2 separate regions of the Mus musculus genome follow, and region 2 is reported to be linked to region 1. Evidence: microRNA targets listed by miRTarBase, many of them from high-throughput screens and not tested one by one. Region 1 holds a microRNA gene; the other region holds the end of a gene's coding sequence.

What was found. Region 1 holds the annotated microRNA mmu-miR-202-5p (UUCCUAUGCAUAUACUUCUUU, at 1,737-1,757, opposite strand). A microRNA usually pairs through its seed, bases 2 to 8, with sites in the 3' UTR of a target mRNA and lowers its output. Matches are read on the target gene's strand: a 7mer-m8 pairs with bases 2 to 8, a 7mer-A1 pairs with bases 2 to 7 and ends in A, and an 8mer does both.
Region 2: miRTarBase lists Moap1 as a target of mmu-miR-202-5p. Seed matches in the 3' UTR shown: 7mer-A1 at 4,025-4,031 and 7mer-A1 at 2,596-2,602.

The regions. Positions count from the first base shown.
Region 1 is chr7:139,955,996-139,961,068 of GRCm38, forward strand. It overlaps Mir202 (microRNA 202), which reads right to left and starts at 1,765; the gene lies at 1,694-1,765. All of the region lies in intron 1 of Gm16201 (a long non-coding RNA gene), which reads left to right. It overlaps Mir7686 (microRNA 7686), which reads right to left and starts at 1,627; the gene lies at 1,571-1,627.
Region 2 is chr12:102,737,433-102,742,505 of GRCm38, forward strand. It overlaps Moap1 (modulator of apoptosis 1), which reads right to left. Exons shown (of 2, transcript NM_001142937.2): 2 at 2,398-5,073. The coding sequence ends at 4,798. Gm20604 (predicted gene 20604) reads right to left here. Exons shown (of 2, transcript NM_001142939.1): 2 at 2,398-5,073. Among named protein-coding and RNA genes, the nearest start is that of Moap1, 3.7 kb to the right of the region's middle.

The DNA.
Region 1 (5,073 bases):
GCTTATGGCTTGGCATTGGTAGCCCAGGGTTTGACCCACACTCTCTTTGCTCCCTGGAGCCCCCAATCTCCCCAGATCTGCAGTGTTCCCATAGGCAAGGAGGATCCAGCCCCTCCCCATTCCTTAGTCATTATGCTCAAGGCTTATCCTAGACCCTGGGGCCCACCCTCCAAATCTCTCCCTCCTACTGTGCTAGCCAGAACCTGGGGAAAGAAGCCAGGTGCGTTCCCTCCTGCTGGGAACCTTCTCAATGTGTTCTCTCCTCTTTCTGCCCCCCCCCCCCCCGGCCCCATATTCTGGCAGTGGCCATGATGGGTGCCCACTGGTGATAATTCAGGAGGTTAAGGAACAAGTGAGGCACAGCCTGGGGTAGATGTGTGTGGGGCGTTGCTAGTAGACAGAACTAGGAGCTGCTTGCTAAGGCTGACAGGATGAAGGTCCCACACCCTCCAAGACCAGTGGCTCAACTTGGCAGCTCAGCTCACAAAGGCTTATTTTCCTCATCCATAAAGACTACACACACAAGTCTCCCAAGTTCCTAAGAGTCTGACCCTCTAAATAGTGAGCCAGCTTAGGCCATCCCCAGGGAAGGTCCTACCAAGGATCCTGGGAATCCTCACGTTTATACACTTAGATCACAGCTTCCAGTCTGTTCCCTTGATGCCTCATCCCTTGATGTGGCACTCCCATTGTCCTTCACACCAACGTGATGTCATCCAGCGTAACTCCCTCAATGTGATGCTACCAATGTCCATCCACCCAGTGTGACATCCCTCACCCCCTCCCCTCATATGACACTCCATGTGACAAACCCCAGTGTGCATCCTTCCCTTGATGTGAAACCTTCCCTTGTAATACCCACATGTACTAACTCTGATATCTCAATGTGACACTTTCAGTGTGGCCCAGGTGATGTCGCTCCCCACAGCATGATGCATGCCCCCCCCAACACACACATATCAGACCACAATCATGGGGGATGGGGAAATGCAGTGTAGCAGAGCAGCTTGGTCCAAACATTTTATTTTCATCAGCTTTTCCTGATTTTCATCTTTTTTTCAGTTCTGGAAACTGAACCCAAAGACCTCCTCCCTCGTGAGTGGCAAGCATTCTGCCACTGAGTGTTAAAAAAAAATCAACCACACCCATCATGATAAAAATGTAATCATGGTGCGAAGCAATTACACAAACTGAATCCTGGAGCCCACTGACCCCTCAGCTGGTCCTTATACCTCCTCCAACATCAGACCCGACGTCATCCACTAGTGTGAAAATGTGGTCACACTGATTTCACACTAAAGAAAATTTCATAAGGAAAATTTCAAAGATCAAGTCCTGAGCCTATGCGCCTCTTCTAAGGTCCCTAGAACTCAGGATTGCTTAAGCACGAACTCAGATCTGCTTCAGTTCCTGTCCCAACACCCTCTGTAAAACCTCGGATAGGTCAGATGTGCCCCTCCATTCTATCCCAAGCCCTCCATTTTAACACCTGAACAACCGGATCCCAAGATCCGCTTGCGTAGGAATCACTGTTCCCTGGAAGACTCGGGAAAGGCAGTGCGGCTCTTCTTCTCTTACAGTGCCCCGAGCAGACAGGAAAGCGCCCAGCCCCAGGTCCAGTGGAAGGGAAGCAGAAGTCGCCTGGTCAGGAAGCAGATGCTAATGACTTTGTTTGGGTGGGGAAGATCTCACTGCTCCATCTTCCCATGCGCTATACCTCTTTAGACCAGATCCACAAAGAAGTATATGCATAGGAAAAAGGAACAGCCAGCGAGAATGTGCGGGCCATCATTTGATACTTGCAAGCAGCAGCAGTCACCAGAAGGATTGATCCCCTGCAAAAGACAACCAGAAAAAGCTTAGAGCTAAGGCCAGGGACAGCAGGCATTGCCATTCTGTGAAGTGATAAAAGAGCCCCACTAAGCTTGGGCCGTGTCCCCGGAGGCAAACCAGCCTTACCTGGGTCCAGACTGCTAGTGGCCTGAGAATGAGACAGAGCTTGGAAGCAGTGTCAGAGGACTTGGCTGTTGCTCGGTGAAGTCCTGCTGCTTGCAACCCAGGCACCCCTTTTATACACGGCTGAGACCTTGGCCAGCGCAGTCCCATGTGGTCAGAGAGCTGCTCCGTGCCAAGGACCCCGTCTCACCCCCCGCACGTGCGAGGCTGGGGCACAAAGACCTGGTGTGAATAAACAGGTCCTTTGCAAATAGGGCCCCCAGGGTAGGGGGCTGCTGGCCCAGGAACTGGGATAGGGCCAGCCCTGGCCAGCTGCCTCTCAACATTTTTATCTCTTGCTGGCGTCAGGGGCCCGGGAAATGCATACAGAGGAGCACTGATCATCCGGGGAGAAGGGCACTCCTCCTCCTGGACCTGCTCAGCTCAGTGATAGCTGTGTCTCTGGGTGGTTCTGCAGCCCCGAGGCTGGACTTTGCTAGAGGCCAGGCTTGAGGCCTATAAGACAGTGTCTCATAACTGTCCTCTATTTAGCTGAAAACCGAGACTCAGACTCTTGCCCCTGGGAAGCTCCCAGGAAGCCCCAACTGGACAGACCTCTGGTGGCTTCTGTACAGAGGGTCCAGATGGGTGCTGACCAGGAGCCCAAGACCCATGGAGGGTGTTCTGTGGTACAAAGGGGGCATAGGCCTTGTCCCTTTACCAGAACTCCCATTGGGGCATAGAAGACATGGTTGTAAGGTTTCATGAGCAAGAAACCATGTCCAGCATAGAGGGGAGGGGGGGCTCCTTAGAGACATCAAAGACCCAAGGATACCCACACAGAGACTGCACAAAAATGCCATGCCCTAGGGTCTCATGGACTACCCCTGCTGAGCCATCTCTCCAGAATGTGGGTAGTCAGAGGCTGTTAGGGAGTAGAGGGCTCCATGCTTCCATTCCTGGGCCCGTCTGTGTGGTTCTTTGTTCTGCAGACCCAGATCCCAAGTACAGCAGACATCCAGACACATACACTGCTCCTTACCCAGGCTGGGCAGCTCAGCTCTTCAGTGTGTCAATGATAGCTGGTCAGTGCCAGCCATGGCTAGGAGATAGCCAAACCCACATGACAAACGTCTATAGTATTCGGAGGAAGGTCACACTGCCTTACTAAGGCAAGACTAAGGTTGCATCTGTAACCGTGAGTCCAGTGAGCCTCAGCATAGCCCTTGGGTAGCCCCCATTCTCCTGGGGAAAAGCAGAGTCTGGCCCAGGTTCTGAGAGCAGCGGACAAGGACAGAACCCTGGAAATGGGCACATACAAGAAAATCCAGGGAAGGCCAATAGCTCAGAGCCTTCCTGACAATGCCCGGGATGGAGCTCAGACCATGGCACGGTAGCACAGGGCATGAATACTTGAGAACTACAGAACCTGGACTGTCATAAGGGCTGGAGTTTAAGGCAATCTGGGGACTCTGTGGGTGACAGGATCCAAAACCATATCGCTCTGAGAGCCATCTCCTACCTCATGCCCATAGACCTGGGCTTTTTGGCCATGAGAAAGGTCAGTGGTGGCTGATAGGCATTATAAAGAGTGGCTAGGGGCCGGAGAGATAGATGGCTCAGCAGTTAAGAGCACTGACTGCTCTTCCGAAGGTCTTGAGTTCAAATCCCAGCAACCACATGGTGGCTCACAACCATCTGTAATGAGATCTGACGCCCTCTTCTGGTGTGTCTGAAGACAGCTACAGTGTACTTATTTATTATAACAATAAGTAATAATAATACAGTGTATTATTATTTATAATAATAAGTAAATATTTATCTAAAAAGAAAAGAGTGGCTAGAAGAGTAGGGGAGGGACAGACTGCTGAAGGTCTGGACCCAATGAGGCCTAGGCTAATCTGTCCTGGTGGAAAGTTGTTCCATAGAAAAAGAGGCATAGTAGCCCCAAGAATTTAGACATGCTGACATTCACACACACACACAGAGAGAGAGAGAGAGAGAGAGAGTGAGAGAGAGAGAGAGAGAGAGAGAGAGAGAGAGAGAATGGAGAGAGTATTTTTGGTTGTTTTGTTTTTCTTCTATGTAGCCCTTGCTGTCCTGGACCTCACTATGTAGACCAGGCTGGCCTCAAACTCTCAGAGATCCACCTGCTTCTGCCTCCCAAGCTCTGGGATTAAAAGCATATGCCACCATGCCTATCCTCAGACACATTTCTGAGTCCCCTGGGCTAGAGGAAGTGTTCTCTCAGGGATACTAGTTGGTAAGAGCCCCACTTTCAGATTTTTGTGGGTCTAAAAAAGAGCCCTCAGAACTAGCCTTCTGGCCCTGCGCCCAAAGGGCCCCAACAGAGGCCCCATCCATCCCCTTCTGCCTCCGTCTGGCACATCATGAAAGCTGCCTCCCATCTGCAGCTGCAGCTACAGTGCTCTCCCCAACCTTGGGCTATGGCCTCGGCCTCACATTTGCAAGAGGAATAGAAGAAATAAGACAAAGAGGAAGAGGGAGAGACAGGCGGGTGAGAGCACAGGGGGACTGAGACTCTGAGTGACAGAGACTGAGGAGAGGATGAGAGACAGAGGGGCCAGGGAACTGTGTGCTTTGCCTTTCCATACCTTCTCCCCTCCTCCAGATTAGAAAACCAACACTTGGTAATAGTAAGGCGATGCACAAGCCCAGAGGGGGGCTTCACACCACGAGAGGTGGAGTACAGCCCAGTGTGGGAACAGCTGTCCCTCTAAAGGTGCGTAAGGCACTGTCTTCTTCCTGGCCATTCAGCTGGACCTGGGGAGGACTGGGATTAGCTAGGTAGTTAACCCAGTATGTTTCCCACAGCCCATAAGGAGTTATGACTATTGTGGGGCTAACTGACCTGTGTTTCAGAGGCCTCTCTCAGGCTGCTGGGCTGATCTCACTGAAGAGCCAGGAGGTTAAGAGTGAAAAAGATTTTAGTTTGAGCCTGGCCTTCCTGGCCATGACTGACAAAAGGTCTTGTGACCCTTTCAAGAACTGGCTATCCAATGGGAATACCCATGGTTACCCCTATGCGAAGTTTCTCCCATAGCACCCCAGTTCCTTGAGTAAACCCTAAACCTATAAACGGGACTGCTAGGGCATGTTGAGGCCAGCTCCCACCCA
Region 2 (5,073 bases), not on the chromosome of region 1:
AAACCAAACCAAAAACTGGGCAGTGGTAGTATACATCTTTGATCCCAGCTCTTGAGAGGTAGAGGCAGGCAAATCTCTGTAAATTCGAGGCTAGCCTGGTGTACAGAAAGAGCAAGTTCCAGGACAGCCAGGGCTACTCAGAGAAACCCTGTCTTCAAAACAAAACAAAACAAAACAAACAAGAAAACAGAGCCCTAAACAAAAAACAAACAAACAAAAAAGCCCTCTTTCTTTCAACACAGGAGCAGAAAGTAACTTACACAGTTCCTAGAGGGTAAAGCAGCCACATGAATTATCTGACATTCTTCTGTAAAGATTCATCTTTTCTCCCATATTTATTCAATCGTTATTTACATCGACATCAACTCCCAGGAATTTACTTTGGGTTAGAACTAACACTATGGTGCTTACTCTGTGGCTGTGAGGAAGCTCTTCCCGGAAGTCCCCTGGCTATGGAAATACCACCTTCTTTTCATTTCTTTGAGAGTTTCTTTCTTTCTTTTTTTTTTAAAGATTTATTTATTATTATATGTAAGTACACTGTAGCTGTCTTCAGACACACCAGAAGAGGGAGTCAGATCTTGTTACAGATGGTTGTGAGCCACCATGTGGTTGCTGGGATTTGAACTCTGGACCTTCGGAAGAGCAGCCATCTCACCAGCCCCCGAGAGTTTCTTTCTTAAACAAAAAGAAATTCCCCTTCAAGTCCTAGTATGTCAATGTGACATTTTAGTGCCATTGTTTCAACATGGCTGTTTAAAGGGCGCATATGTGCTTTTATTATTTTCAATTTATAAACCAATAAAAAAATCCTTTTAGTTTCCTCAATTACATAGTATTCACCAGATGCATGCAGAAGACCATAAGAAAAGCTGACTGTGGGCTGGAGAGGTGGCTCAGCAGGTAAGAGGATTTGCTGCAGCAGGTAGAGGACCCTTCTGAGCACGTTCATGGCTGCAAATAATCTTGTGTAACTCCAGTTCCAGAGTTACATGATTTTCTTATGGCTTTTGTGCATGGAAGCAAACATTTATATTATCTAGAATTGATTTTTAATTTTTTTTTTATTTTTTGGTTTTTTGAGACAGGGTTTCTCTGTGTAGCCCTGGCTGTCTTGGAACTCACTCTGTAGACCAGGCTGGCCTCGAACTCAGAAATCCGCCTGCCTCTGCCTCCCGAGTGCTGGGATTAAAGGCATGCGCCACCACTGCCCGGTGGCACTGAATCTTCTTGAACCTTAAGCTTCCTGTCTGTAGAATGGACACTGTTTTTTTGTTTTTGTATTTTTTTTGACAGGCTCCTGTGAGAAGTTAACAAGCTAACCTAGAACAGCTTAAGAACAAGGGACTCTGGGGGCCAAGGAAATGATGGCTCAACAGTGAAGGGCATTTACTGTTCTTGCACAGGTTCTGGGTTCGGTTTCTAGCATTCATATGATGACTCACACCGGTCTGACTCCTGCCTCAGGGGAATCCACCACTCTCTGTTCTGGCTTCCACAGGCACTGCATGAATATGATGCGCACACATACCCACCTAATATTAAAAACAAATCAATCTTTATGACGATCAAGGACTGGCAATGGACAGGCTCGATGTAAATCCTGGCCTGTCACTTTGATAAAGGAGACCGTGGGAACACTCATCAGGAATTAAACATTATTAGAGCTTGGCTAAAATCACTGCTAATAAGTTGTTCTTCTTTCAAAACTGTAAGCACTCCTGCTGACGGGGCAATTTGACTTCTCAATCACCAGCTGCTGGACTTACCCACTGTTGGCTGCTTTGAGCAAGCGGGCTGTCAAAAGCCAGCCAGCTATCTGTATGACATCACTGTTTGGAACACTGTGTGAACACCTTGAAACGACACAACTGCAGCTCCCCAAGGCACAGCCTCTGCCAGGCCTAAGTCAGCTTCTACTAGATGTTTGCTAGCACAACGTCAGTGAATCCTAGATGACCTTGCAACCATTTTCAAGGAAGGAGAGTTTGTCTGATAGCTTAGCAGTGACTGCGATGCTAGTGTTCAGACAAGGCTGTGATTGGTGCAAACACAATTCTTCATTTACATATAAGTTTTTCTCAAAGTGGCACAAACACCCTTCCTTAGCCTTCATAGGCTGTTGAGCTCACTTTGTCAGCTAGGAGATAACCTCTTTTTTTTTTTAAATTTATTTATTTATTGTATTTACTATATGTAAGTACACTGTAGCTGTCTTCAGACACTCCAGAAGAGGCATCCAATTTCGTTAAGGATGGTTGTGAGCCACCATATGGTTGCTGGGATTTGAACTCAGGACCTTTGGAAGAGCAGTCACACTCTTAACCCCTGAGCCATCTCACCAGCCCCAGGAGATAACCTCTTGTGCTGCCTCCCCAATAAAAGATTCTCTCCAGTAGTGTTTCCTTGCCATTTTTTAAAAAGATTTATTTTATTTATGAGTACACTGTAACTGTTTTCAGTCACACCAGAAGGCAGCATCAGATCCCATTACAGATGGTTGTGAGCCACCATGTGGTTGCTGGGATTTGAACTCAGGACCTCTGGAAGAGCAGTCGGTGCTCTTACCCGAGGAGCCACCTCTCCAGCCCTCCTTTCCTATTTCTAGCTTACTTCTTAGTTGTGAGGCTAAGATGGCAATATAAAGCCAGGAGAGTGGCAGCAACAGCAGACAGTGGAGTGGCAGGCAGAGCTGGAAAATGGCTGTGTGGCTGGCTGTTGTGACAACCGAAGAGGCAGAGATAAAGGAGAGAAGGCTGTAAAGAGCTGGAAATGAAAACCAGCAGGCCCTTGTCACTGGAGGTTTCAGAGAGCTTCTGTGATTTTTACAAGTCTCAGACACCCCGAGACCTGTACGATTTAACACTGGCAAGGCGAAGGAATAATAACTTCCCAAGTCTATACAACAGCTATAATACTTGTAATGAGGTCTACCCAATAACTTAGTATTTTAGAGCAAAGGGTGGGGTTACTAGAGGCTTCCACAAGATCTATAATGCTTAATTAAGGGTCTAGCATCCTAGGCCCCTAGAGCTATAACACTAGGTGGCACTCTTCTCCACCTGTCTGTTGCCACCACTGCCAAATGTTATGGGATATATATATATATATATGCGTCAAAGACCAGCACCTAAAGATCTCTGAGCCTATGATCTACCCAGAATAAAAAGACCTGGAGCCAGGGGCTAGCCACATTACTACCTGTAAAACCACAGACAAGTTATTTTTCTGTGCCTCATCTTATTCATAAAATGGGAGGTGGGAAGAGACAGCTTCTTCTTCAGCTAGTACTTAGTCGCTGGCCAAGGATACATCCAATGTCAGCCATTAATACTGAGTCTGAATAAACCTTCAAAGCAGGGATTATCCTGTCGAGTTTACCCCCTCAGCTTAGGGTCTCACATACAGAAGAGGCGTGGCATTTATTAATGCTTGTGTGTCTATACAAAATGTAAAGTTTCTCACCGAGGCAGCAAATGAGTGACCTGCAGGACAGTGCATAATGTATCTTAAGCCACTATACAAACATGAGCAGAATCACAGCTCTCAAGAGTCCACATGCCATTCTGCAGTGGAGAACATAAGGAAACTTTCCATGTATTCCTAACTCAGAGTAATCTATCACACTCCCAAGACTACATGTACACACGGTGACAGTCTGGCCTTGATTCTTTGTGTAGTTCCCTCCCTTAGTAGAGAGAACAGCAGCTTTGCAAGAACCAGAACAGCTCTCATTACTGCCTGCTTCGTCTTGGGCATACATCCATTTCCCAGGTGATCTTAGTTTCCCTGTATGTAGTTTTCTCTTTGGAGGTAGGGCCTCCCTCTGTAGTTCTGGCTGGCCTTGAGAGGCCAGTCTTCCTGACTTTGGCTTTACTTGTTAAGCACTGGGGTTATAGGTGTGTAGCACCAGGGTTGGAAAAACACAAACCTTCATCTTCCCTTTCTCCCTCAAAATTCAATATTGATGGGCCTACTACTCGCCACAATCTGTTTATAGTCTGGTTCCTGTCAAACAAGCAAGTTCCTATCCCCTAGGTGCCAAGAGTTCAAAGAACTAAGTCTGTAATTTCAGTGGCTTTCAGATTCACACTATAAAAACTTTTGTTCAGCCTAGTGTAGTTGTGCAGGCCTTTAATTCCAGCACTCAGGAGGCACATTTCTGAGTTTGAGACTACCCTGGGTCTATAGAGTGGGTTCCAGCACAGCTAAAGCTGCACAGAGAAACTGTCTTAAAAACAAAGCCAAAAAATTATTTTCCTTCAAATGTAGTATTACAATGTATACAAAGATCAAATATTTTATTATCATTTCTTTATTACTCCAAGAAAATGATATTTAGAAGCAGACGTTTTGGCAACATATCAGATAGTCACAAACCTAAAACTAGTTGTAGAACTGACCACAGCATTCAGTTGTGCTTTTTGATTGCACAGAATCGATAACTGATTTTAATAAAAGAAACTAAATATCTTAACCAGCCTTGGCTCAGGGTCTTCAGCATAAATGTGGGCAACACCTGAAAACTATTGATAACTGATAGCACCATCACATATGACTATTAAACATGCATATAAACTTTTGACTTGCTGGGACACTGTACTAGCAGAATGGTCTTTTGATTTAAATAATTATCAGTGTAGAATGACATCATTTTTATCAGTAAAACATTGGGGAGACATTCAGTAAACAACACGACAAAGGGCGAGTTACTTTGGCAGCATAAAGAGTGGATGGGCTGATCTCTGCAATGAGCTCTTCCATCTTGTTCTGCTCATGACAGCCTTGGGTCTTGGGTCAAGTGCAATAGCCTTCTAATTCGGCCTGAAGGAGGACCTCTTCTTCTTCGGCCTCCTTATCTTTTATCAGTGTCAGCAACTGCAGTAAGCCTGGGGCTGGGCTACCCTCCGGCAGCCCAAGCTCTCTTCGAACTGATTTGTGGACTGCCCCAGCAATGACTTGGTCTAGACGGGCCTGATTCACAACTTCTTTCTCAATTGCTCCTTTCTGAACCAGTTTCTGCAATAAAGGCTCCAACCTTAGAACATAGGCAGACAGCTTTTCATCAGTCTT